2 linked regions of the Arabidopsis thaliana genome follow. The protein of the gene in region 1 interacts with the protein of each later gene in a biochemical or structural test. Each region holds a gene or a part of one and is shown in the gene's direction. Other genes may lie near its edges.

Region 1 (6,115 bases):
AGCCTTATTTGTCTATATGTATGGGTGACATGGTAATAATTTCTTTAACTAAATCTCTGGGATGATTTTTTAAATTAATTTGTAGTTTCTTTAAGAAGTTACACAACATGAGGTTATAACAATTTTACGTGACATATTTATAACTCACAAATGAACTATTTTTTGTTTTTTATATCTCAGGTGATCGTAAATGCTTTATAATCTCGGGATATGGAAAACAATGTTAAATTGAGCTATTTTGTTTTTGAAATATGAAAATTCATAGTTTAAAATTTACACAATCGATATAATATTCTACAGATTGAGAAATTTATTACCCGTATATAATGATAAGTAAGATTGATTTCAAGAACTTTTGGATCATGAGTCCCTCTATTTTGTTAGTCTTAGTTTAGGACTCTTCAGATTCAAAGTTTTATATATTAAAAAAGTAAATAGTTTCTAAACATGAGTGTTATATCATCGATCCAAACAATTGGTTTTGACAACGTTGCACTATTTAGGTAAAATATGCATCCATGGAAACCAAGATTAATAAACATGATGTTTCGAAAATATTAAAGAAAACTGCAATAGAGAAAGAAAAAAGAAAAAAAACACAAAGACCAAGTGAGATCATGTTATTGCGTAATACATGTGGATTGCGTAGTTTGGTAATGATGTTAGATAGTCTATGCGCTCCAGTGCTCCACAGCAACGGCTAACTTCTCGAACACACGCTCCTATTTTCAACGTGCCAAAGTTAGAGCCTAGCTTTGATTATCTTTTCTGGTCTATACTCATATTTTGCTGCTCCATGTATCCACCATCTCTTTTACTGGGGCACACTATATATATGTAAAGTGCTTTTACTGATAAAAAATAGTAAACAAAATGATATTTTAATCTTTTTACGTTCTCGTAGTATTCTTTTGTCCAGTCTAATTTACAAAGACTGAGAACATTCATTCTTCACTTAATATTATATAGTGTTGGTGCCTTGGTGGTATGGATGATTGATATGCTGAGAAAGCAAAGCATAAAACATAGGTCCAGGCATGTCTGTTCAATGTATGATATCTCTTTTAGCAACACTTTTCTTCTATCCTATCGGAACTGCAATTACTTTTTTGGTGTCATTCTCATTCATGTGCTTTATTTTATAGGAAATTTTAATTATTTGAAAGAAGTTTCTATTATTGGCTGTTAGTAAAACCTCTAAAATTAATCTCACTACTATGAATCAGCATCTATAACTTCATAGTATATCACCACCACAACTATGTTTTTTTTGTTAAATCCCAAACTGTTATTAAATGTGAAAGATCTTTAATCAAATACATATAGACAATCTCCATTTGTATAACCTTATGTTTATTTCCTTTTAGTTAATTAGCTTGAACTAAGTTTCACAAATTACATTTACATCTACACATTCACATGCACATACATTGAATATCAACTAATTTTAAAACTGATTAGTTAGTATACGTTCGGAGTAGCTAGACAACTATAGACATCATGATTCACATTTTTCAATAAATTGATTACTTGATGATACAAATGTGTGTGTTAACGGCTGGAAAACATACAAAGAGGGACATCATAGTTCATAAAGGTGTTCCCTTTATATATAGTTATACATAGAATGTGGGATAATCATGGAGCCGTACTAATCACTCTATTATTTTCTTTACAAAATAAAGTAGAAGTAGGGGTATTACTTTTTCTACTCCAGCTTACTCTTGTCTACTGCAACTATTATTCATTCGACTGGAACCATTAGCTCATACATATCTTGTATACAATTACTTAAAAATTTGTATTGTAAATGATAATCATAAATATACATTTTTGTTTGGTAATTATAATCATATTAAATATAGTTAATTGTTAAAGGTCGGTTAGTTTGTCTCATTCCTTTTGAAGTATGAAAATCACAAATTTTCATTAAGAGAAAACGAAAAATAACAAATAAAACAGCTTCTTTTAATATTAAAGTTTTTTTCTTGAAAAATTGTAATAATAATATGTGAGCTAAAAGTATATAAAAATTGGCATAAGTGCTCTTTCGTTATGATAAAGAAAGTGCATGAATTTCTCCGCAAGAGCTAATCTTTTGCACATTTGTCATCATCATTCTCAAGTTTTGTATTTTCCCATCATTCTATATCACTTAAACTATTCAACATTGATTTTAATTCACCAATAAATGAAAACAGAAATTTGTATAAATAAAAATACTAATAAATTGTTGATCTCAAAAAAAAAAAGTTGGGATATTTATAGATAGATACCAAAGTCCAAAGGTCCAACTTAGGAAGCCCGAATCTTCTATCAACGTCTCTCACAGTCCCTTTTCATGCTTTCACACTCTCACTGCTCTTCTCTCTCCAATTCTCTCATCAATCTCCGCAAACTCTTCTCATTCTTGATATCTCCATTACCAAAAGTAAACTCTTGTCCAAATTCTGCTACTTTTTTGTACTGATTCCTCCGAAATGTCGGTGGGATCTCTTTTATTCATGTTTCTTCTTATCTGGAACTTCAATGGCGAATTGAATGCTCTAAACGACGAAGGGTTTGCTCTTTTAACTCTGAAGCAGTCTATTTCAAAAGATCCAGATGGTTCTTTAAGCAATTGGAACTCAGAGAATCAAAACCCTTGTTCTTGGAATGGAGTCACTTGTGATGATAACAAGGTTGTTGTCTCTCTTAGCATCCCAAAGAAGAAACTTTTAGGTTATCTTCCTTCTTCTCTTGGTTTACTCTCTAATCTCCGTCATTTGAATTTGAGAAGCAATGAGCTTAGTGGGAACTTACCTGTTGAGCTTTTTAAGGCTCAAGGTCTTCAAAGTTTGGTTCTTTATGGGAATTTCTTGTCTGGGTCCATTCCAAATGAGATTGGTGACTTAAAGTTTCTGCAAATTTTGGATCTTTCTCGTAATTCTCTTAATGGGTCTATTCCAGAATCGGTTTTGAAGTGTAATAGGCTTAGGAGCTTTGATTTGAGTCAGAATAATCTCACTGGTTCTGTTCCTAGTGGATTTGGTCAGTCTTTGGCTTCTTTGCAGAAGCTTGATCTTTCTTCTAACAATCTTATTGGTCTTGTTCCTGATGATTTGGGGAATTTGACTAGATTGCAAGGAACTCTTGATTTGTCTCATAATTCGTTTAGTGGCTCGATTCCAGCTAGTTTGGGGAATTTGCCTGAGAAAGTTTATGTCAATCTAGCTTACAACAACTTGAGTGGACCAATCCCACAAACCGGTGCTTTGGTGAACAGAGGACCAACTGCATTCTTGGGGAATCCAAGACTCTGTGGCCCTCCATTGAAGGATCCTTGTTTGCCAGATACGGATAGTTCTTCAACTTCTCACCCTTTTGTACCGGATAACAACGAGCAAGGTGGAGGAGGGTCAAAGAAAGGAGAAGGTTTAAGTAAAACTGCTATTGTTGCAATTGTGGTTTGTGATTTCATTGGAATCTGCATTGTGGGATTTCTCTTCTCTTGTTGTTACTTGAAGATTTGTGCACGTCGTAATAGTGTGGATGAGGAAGGCTATGTGTTGGAGAAAGAAGGGAAAGAAAAGAAAGGTTCCTTCTGTTTCAGAAGAGATGGATCAGAGTCCCCTTCTTCGGAAAATCTTGAGCCACAACAAGATCTTGTTCTGTTGGATAAACATATTGCTTTGGATTTAGATGAGCTGCTTAAGGCTTCAGCTTTCGTTCTTGGAAAAGGCGGGAACGGGATTGTGTATAAAGTTGTCCTCGAAGATGGTCTAACGGTCGCTGTTAGGAGACTGGGAGAAGGAGGTTCCCAAAGATGCAAGGAGTTTCAGACAGAAGTTGAAGCAATTGGGAAGCTAAGGCATCCGAATATCGTTAGTCTTAAAGCTTATTATTGGTCAGTTGAAGAGAAACTTCTCATCTACGACTACATTCCTAATGGAAGCCTTACCAATGCACTCCACGGTAAACTATAAAACCTTTATGATAATACTTCTCATATCGTTTCTCTGTCTTGAAAACTCAATTTTGGTTTTTGTGTATGCTTAGGAAATCCTGGAATGGTGTCATTCAAGCCTCTGTCTTGGGGAGTTCGGTTAAAGATAATGAGGGGAATCTCAAGAGGGCTGGTGTATCTTCACGAGTTTAGTCCTAAAAAGTATGTTCATGGATCTCTGAAACTCAGCAATATACTGTTGGGACAGGATATGGAGCCTCATATCTCGGATTTCGGACTTATGCACCTCTCTAGCATTGCTGGAACATTGGAATCAACTACAGTTGACCGACCATCCAACAAGACCGCCTCATCGATTGGATCATCTGCAAACTTGAGCTCATTTTATCTGGCTCCTGAAGCCACTAAAGCAACAGTGAAGCCATCACAGAAATGGGATGTATACTCATTCGGAGTGATCTTGCTAGAGATGATAACGGGAAGATTACCGATTGTTTTCGTGGGTAAATCGGAAATGGAGATAGTCAAGTGGATACAAATGTGTATCGATGAGAAGAAAGAGATGTCAGACATTTTGGATCCTTATTTGGTGCCTAATGACACAGAGATTGAAGAAGAGGTCATCGCCGTGTTGAAAATTGCAATGGCTTGTGTTAGTACTAGCCCCGAGAAACGTCCACCGATGAAGCATATCGCTGATGCTTTGACCCAAATTTGCCTTCAGTGACTCGTAACAAAAACGGTTGCAAGTCAATTGTGTGTATGTAATGTGTTTAAAGGAAAAGTCTTACTGTTGTTGTTAGTTCCCCTTGTAATATCGAAATCTTATGTTACTTCAAATAGAGTTTCTTTGTAACATATAGCTTTACTCATTTTCATGGTACATACTATATGGATAAGCTTCATAATCATAAGGTTACACATTTATGATAAAAGTATACTGACGTCACACACAAAAGATAGATAAACCTATATATACTGATCATGGTAAGTCCTTATTTATGGAGTTTAATTATAGAAAAAGAGAATAATTTCTCTGAAAATTCATAATTTTCTTATGATCAAAAGGGTAATGTTGAACTGAAATTAGGAGGCTGTGTTCCAACGCTTTCTCTTAAAATCCTTTCCATCTCTGCTGCACTATGAATATTCCCTCCCTGTAATCATTTTTTTGTTAATACAAATCCATGAAAATGTTTTATCTTATTATAATTTTAATCATGTAATATTATGTGATAGTTACCTGAAATATATCCGTTGGCTCAATATCCAAAGAATTAAGGTCGTAACATGCACTTGCCGCTGAGAGTTTCATGGACAAAAACTGTAGTCAAGAGGCCAAAGCAGGAAAACATTTAAGTATTAGTGGGATATTATAAAAGTTAATGGGATGTTTGAACTTTGAAGAGTGAAATCAATGGCCTAACTAACCTCGATTTGATTCTGGAGTGATCGTACATAATCTATGATGACATCAAGCATCACTGCCATTCCCATTGCCTGCATCACGTTTTGAATTATCATTATAGAGAATAAACCCATTTTGATTTATTACTGTGGAAAAAAAAAATCGCTATACAAAAAAACAATCTGTTCATTTACGTAAGAGACGCTGCCACACCCTTTTAGATTTTGGCGTTCCGAAAAAACAAAAACAAAAACTAATTATTTCTATAGTTTTAAAATATTCTATCACATGATTCCTAATTTTTTACACTTTAATTCAATGATACATAGAAAAAAAATATTAATAGTTAAAGAATTGTGAGCTTGAAAAATTATCTTTAAAAAGTGTTTTTAAACCAAAAAATAGCACCAGAGTTACTTGGATTTAGAGGTAACTAATTTATCTAGAGTTACTTGTTTTTAGAGTTTTGTTGATTTTATTTTAATTACAAAACAAAAATTAGGGAGTTGTAGACAACAAACAAACAAAAAGAAATATTAGGGTTTGCGTTAATTCAAGTACCTTGTAGCATCCTGGAACAAGGTCTTGTAAGCATTTCAGCCTTTCATTGATCTTCTCTCTTCGTACCTTTATGCATTCCACAAAGAATCCAACACAACTAAGAAAAGTGAAGTTTTTTGTACTTTTGAGTATATATGTATTTGTAGAATTACCCTTTCAGCCAAACTATGGCTATCAGTAGCTTGACCTCTCTTAGCTCG
Region 2 (6,288 bases), 4.0 Mb from region 1:
CTCAGAGAATTGAATTGATGAGTAGTAGTACCAAACTTACTGTGGTTGTTCTTCGAATGTTGTCCTTCCTTCTAAAAGTCGGAAACAAGATCAATGACCTAAAAGGCTTAAAGGCATAGTGGTAGCTCACTGTGAACAAATAGTCTTCCCCAACGGTTCCACTGATAGCGAAAGAAGAAGATGACAGATATTACCACTTTTAATTAGAAAGAAAAAATTAATTAAGGAATAGACAAAAACAAAAGAAATTTCGGTTCAAAGCGACGTCGTTTGGAATGATGTGTAGGCAAAGTCTAAAACTAGGCCTTTCTGGGCCCAATTAAAGGAGTCAAAGGGAGTTATTTACAGAAATACCCTCCTTTTTCTTGGATCATGATCATGACATTGATGATAAGTGATAACCTTTTTTCTAAAACAATACTAACAATCAAGAATGATGGGTGTCATTATCCAAGTGGTTAGTTCGCTTAATCCAAACATCTAATCTAGTATTCCTAATCAATTATTTAAATCGTAACCACTAACCAGCTCATGATAGGAATGTATTGTATTCTAACTAGATATTTTTTGACGTTTCATAAACGAATGTGAAAGAAACATGATTAAATTATCACTATAATAAAGTTTAGATTTGATTCTGTTCGAAGTTGAATCCTGGTTTTAAGAAATGAATATCTTAAAATGTTTGAATTTTTTTTGTGGATAACTTTACATTAGCAAATTTTATGTCACAACTAAACTACAGTGTAAACTTTATGATATTTTTTTTTTTCTGAATTTATTCAACTATATGCTATATAATTTGGGTAATTTATTTTGAACATGCCTAATTTATATGGACCTAAAGATGCATATTTTGGGCCTTAAATTAGTTGGATACATATATGGGTTTAAATTCTAACCTTTAATAAGCCTATAAGCCCAAAAAATAACAGTTTGTAAGTTATCTGACAAAGGATTTTAATAATAAAGCTGCATATAAAATTGAAAAGAAATGCATGTTGTATAATATTAATTGATACTTTGGCAGTGTCGCTTATTACAAAGGCAGTTGCATGTGATGTGCTTGCAAACTCGCATTTTATCTTCCCTTACCTTTTTGTTTTTAGAAAATAGTATATTTTTTCATCATGATTACTTGGAAACTTGGAAGCTGTGACAAAATATTGGTTTTGAGTGCTTCTGATAAAACCTTGTATTTTGAACTTGAAAACTTTTGTTTTCAGCCATTTTTTTAACTTACTACGATGACGGTCACTTGTTTTGGGATGAAACTTTTTACTACTTGGTGTTGGTGATGCATGGTTTCTATAATTCCTCTTATACAACAAAACTTTTTTGGTTTTTGTCAAAAATTGTATATAACCAACCTTCTTTTTATTAGGATCGCACGTCAGGCCACTTAAAAAGAAGTAAAGAACAATGAGAGATCGATGTAAAAAGAATAAAGGAACAAAAGAGAAAGTAATGGACAGTTCATCACAATTCACACACCAAAAAGAAAACAGCTGAACATTTGTTAGAATCTCAACACTTTCCAAACACACGAAAACAAAATGACACTCATTTCTCACCGACAATAGTGATGAAAATATATCATGGCCGAACTAATTGGTAGTATTATTAGTTTGAGATTGGTATTTTTTGTAACAGTTTGATATTGAATTGTTGATTGATGACCACGAGAAAAAAGAAGTACGATTTATATCATTTGTTGGTTTACTGTATATAGATGATCATTTGGTGTCCTTCTGGTTTCGAGAAAAACAACAAGTGGTTAAAAGTGTAGTTCGAGAAAAAGATTTGGTTAGGACATGTAATTCTTTATTTGAGCTTTTAATCCAACGAACGGGGTTAGATTTTCCTTGCGACGGTGGCTTTGGATGATCCTTAACGGCACGATCTGATCATTACATATTTACATTGACGAAAGAGCACGTGTAAAAAAACTCGTTCACTGGTCTGGTTGACTTTTATTACATACTGTCTGGTCGCTATATATCTATCAAATCTCTATGCATTAACAATTAATGCAACGTTGCTCATTAATTAAGTATGTATTTTTTGTTATTTTACAAGTAGTATTGATATTACAGGAGTTAAAATGTTATAAAAGAAACTACAAACATTTATTCGTAAGTTTATTCATTTATATTTTTTAAAAAATTGGTAAAGATGAAAGAATTTACCTTGGGGAAGAGATCAACGGATTTCGAGAGAAGTACTACTACACAACATTTATTCGTCAAACATGTATGTATTTGTATGTTTATGCATGTATTATGTATCAAATAAATGCATGTTATATGAGTAATAAAGAAAGGTCTTCTGACCATAACAGAGAAATTAATTAAGAACCAGTTGAAGTAAATAAATAACTCTAAATTGTGGAAATTTTAGATCAAAAGTAGATAAATAGTCAGATATTTCATGTGGATTTTACGTATTTTAAGGATCTAATTCATTTTATGCTTTTAAAAAATTTCATTCACTTTCTTCGAAGCAGTAAAACAGTCTGTCAATGTGAAACTTATGAACAATCAACATAAGAAACAAAAATTAAACAAAATTTGTATTTATTGTCTTCTTCTCAGCAGAACTTCTCTCCACTTAATTTTGTTTCTTGCTCTGTCCCAAAAACATTGTTTCATTTTTTTATCTCCCAATTTCCCTAGAAAATCTGCTTCCGATCTAAAAAAATCTCTAGAATTTATGTACAAAACACCATTTTTTTAGACTACTAAACAAATACTAACACTAATCTCGGCTACAATAACAGAAAGACCTTCTGTTCCTTAAGCCACAATAACATCTTTCTTTCTAATTTCTCTGTAATTCTTCCTGAGAGAATGCATAGTTCCTCTAAAAGCCAGGCCTTTTCTCTCACTTTTCTTCTCTTTCTTTTTCTTCTGCCATCAGTCTCAGAATCACAGCTAATATCAAGTGAATCAAGAACTCTATTAGAAATCCAAAAGCATTTACAATATCCACCAACTCTTCGATCATGGAGCAACTGGACCAATTTCTGCTACCTCCCTTCTTCTCCTTCTTTCAAAATCCTCTGTTTCAATGGTCATGTAACTGAATTAACCGTCACGGGGAACAGAACCGTTAAGCTCCCCGGAAGATTCTCAAGCGACTCACTATTCACTGTTCTTACAAAACTCTCAAACTTAAAGACATTGTCTCTGGTCTCTCTTGGCATCTCTGGTCCTCTCCCTTCACAGATCATCAGGTTATCTTCATCTCTTCAATCTCTGAATCTCAGTTCTAATTTCATCTCTGGGAATATTCCTAAAGAGATCTCGTCGTTGAAGAATCTGAGAAGTCTTGTTCTAGCGAACAATTTGTTTAACGGAAGTGTTCCTGATCTCAGAGGATTGTCGAATCTTCAAGAGCTGAATTTAGGCGGTAATAAACTCGGTCCTGAAGTTGTTCCTTCACTTGCAAGTAACTTGATTACTATTTCATTGAAGAACAACTCTTTTGGATCAAAGATTCCAGAACAGATCAAGAAGCTGAATAAGCTTCAGAGCTTAGATCTTTCCTCCAACAAGTTCACTGGCTCAATCCCAAGATTCCTGCTTTCGCTTCCTTCGCTTCAGAATCTAAGTTTAGCACAAAACTTGCTGAGTGGATCACTTCCAAATTCATCGTTGTGCAACTCCAAGCTTAGAATTTTAGATGTTTCTCGGAATCTTCTGACTGGGAAGCTTCCATCTTGCTTCTCTTCCAAGAAACAGACAGTACTGCTCTTCACATTCAATTGCTTGTCTATAAATGGTTCTCCTTCTGCAAAGTATCAGCGTCCAGTTACCTTCTGTGAAAACGAAGCAAAGCAAGCAGTAGCTGCTGTGAAGTCTGACACTAAAGATAAAGAAAGGAAAGAAGAAGATACAGGAATCGAACTTGGATTGGTGATTGGCATTATCATCGGTGTGATCCTCGTTTCAGCGGTTTTAGCTGGCTTGGTTTTGGTTAGGATGAGAAAATCAAGATCAAAAGAAGAGCCTTTGGAAGCAAACAACGTCGATCAGGTCACTGTTTGCAGCAACACCACCAGGTCCACCACATCAAAGACAGTACCAGATCTAAGTAGGCTATTACTTTGAAATCTTGAATCAAGTTTTCACACCCATTAACCTAACTAGCTTGATTTTTTCAAATGCAGGACGTGTACCGCAAACCATGAGATCCGCGGTGATTGGACTATCACCATACCGAGTTTTCTCTTTGGAGGAACTGGAAGAAGCAACCAACAATTTTGATGCAGAGAATCTCTGTGGAGAACAGGTAAAGGAAAATGTAAATAAGACATGATTTAAAATTGATCCGAGTGTCTAACTAATCGATATATCTAATTTCAAAACAGCTGTACAAAGGTTGTCTTAGAGAAGGCATAGCAGTGACAGTGAGGTGTATTAAGCTGAAACAGAAGAATTCAACACAGAATTTAGCTCAACAAATGGAAGTTTTATCAAAGCTAAGGCATATGCATTTGGTCAGTGTTCTTGGACACTGCATTGGTACTTATCAAGATCATCATCCTTATGCCGGAAGCACTATTTTCATTGTCCAAGAATATATCTCTAACGGGTCTTTGAGGGATTACCTCACCGGTAATACTTGAAAAAGATTATCGATTTCAAGAACTTATATTTTTGTTGGGAAACTAATTATTTGGAAATGTTTTTGGCAGATTGGAGAAAGAAAGAGGTGTTGAAATGGCCTCAGAGAATGTCGATAGCGATTGGAGTTGCTCGAGGAATACAGTTCTTGCACACAGGAGTGGCACCAGGAATATTTGGGAACAATTTGGAAATAGAGAATGTTTTACTTGATGAAACACTCACTGTAAAACTCAGTGGTTATAGTATTCCTTTACCATCCAAGGTATATAAACAAACCAGATATAATATAATCAGGATATAGCTTCTAATCTTCAGTTTAACCTCTCATGAAATATATAACCTTCTGGGGGAATTTCAGGTTGGAGCGGAGAGCCCTAGTAATGAAGATGGAGAGAAAGAAGATGTGTACCAGTTTGGAGTGATACTAATTCAGATCATCACAGGCAAAGTAATAGCAGCTGCATCTTCAGAGTTGGGGAGCTTGAAGCTTCAGCTGGAGAACAGTTTGAGAGACGAACCATCGGTGTTGCGTAGCTTGGCAGATCCGTGTGTGAGAGGAACATATGCATACGAGTCATTGAGAACCACAGTAGAGTTTGCCATTAACTGTCTTTGTGAAGATCAGAGGAAGCGGCCATCGATAGAGGATGTTGTATGGAATCTGCAGTACACAATTCAAGTGCAACAAGGATGGACAAGCAGTGAGAACCTCGGGCTTGGTGGTTCAGAACTATAGAAGAGAAATATAAAATCACCATCCTTGAAGAACATAGAGAAACTGATCAATGTCAAATTCAAGGCCTATATGAGAATACATAAAGTTGAACCTACTAATACTTAAGGTACTTACGAGTCTCATGTGAAGCTTCAGATTTTGGTGTAGAAATTGGATTAGCGTCACAAAGAAAGCAATGCAATTGTTAAGGCAATGAAAGGGTGTAACAGAAGGATAAGGCCACAAACCCTTAAATAAAATATCGCAACTTTGTGGAATTTGGGTACAAAGTTGTTTTTTGTAGCTAGCAAGTAAATCGTAATACATATATACACAAAAGTGAATAATTCAGATGGTTTGGTACAAAGTTGTTTTTTTAAGGATGTTGGGTTACATCAAAGCATGGAATCACTTAAATAGTTTTGGAAACACAAGACATGAATGAAAAGAGAAGAAAGCTGTTGCTGAATCGTGATTGAGAGAAAGTAGAGAGAGCTACAACGCTTACAACAAACTACTACTAGTCAGCAGTCCAGCTTTGCTCAACAACATCACGCACTCTCCTGTTGTACTCGCGCTTGCTTTCGCTGTACATCCGAGCAGCTTCCGAGTTTGCAGGAGAATTCGGATTAGGGTCACAGAGCAAGGACTGCAATAACAAAGGGAAAAACGGATTAGAGAAGAAGAAAGCAATTCAAGCTTTTAAGGGCATCAAGAGATGTTCATATGGCATTTTGAATTCACCTGGATGGAGGTAAGTATAGCAGCAACATCATAGATTGGACTCCACTGGTTTTGTAGAATGTCCAAGCAGATACTCCCATCTGCATAAACTACACAACGAATAGAGCAGAAGAACGTTAATTGGAGGCAAAAGCTGAACATCAACCAGGTGGATAGAAAATCCAATGTTGTATCTCTATAACTTACTATTAGGATGAA

What was found. Proteins that work in one complex are often made in the same cells at the same time.
Region 2: the proteins of AT1G25320 (region 1) and AT1G14390 form a complex in vitro, tested with the Arabidopsis thaliana proteins (one large-scale study listed by BioGRID).

Annotation. Positions count from the first base shown.
Region 1 is NC_003070.9:8,875,508-8,881,622, forward strand, and holds AT1G25320 (Leucine-rich repeat protein kinase family protein), read left to right. Parts: upstream 1-2,282; 5' UTR 2,283-2,480; coding exon 2,481-3,954; intron 3,955-4,038; coding exon 4,039-4,673; 3' UTR 4,674-4,881; downstream 4,882-6,115. Other genes in the region: CES (basic helix-loop-helix (bHLH) DNA-binding superfamily protein), read right to left, coding at 5,008-5,103, 5,190-5,270, 5,378-5,446, 5,916-5,981, 6,068-6,115.
Region 2 is NC_003070.9:4,921,428-4,927,715, forward strand, and holds AT1G14390 (Leucine-rich repeat protein kinase family protein), read left to right. Parts: upstream 1-2,609; 5' UTR 2,610-2,849; coding exon 2,850-4,095; intron 4,096-4,171; coding exon 4,172-4,293; intron 4,294-4,372; coding exon 4,373-4,619; intron 4,620-4,699; coding exon 4,700-4,893; intron 4,894-4,989; coding exon 4,990-5,367; 3' UTR 5,368-5,487; downstream 5,488-6,288. Other genes in the region: UBC1 (ubiquitin carrier protein 1), read right to left, coding at 5,867-5,995, 6,091-6,179, 6,277-6,288.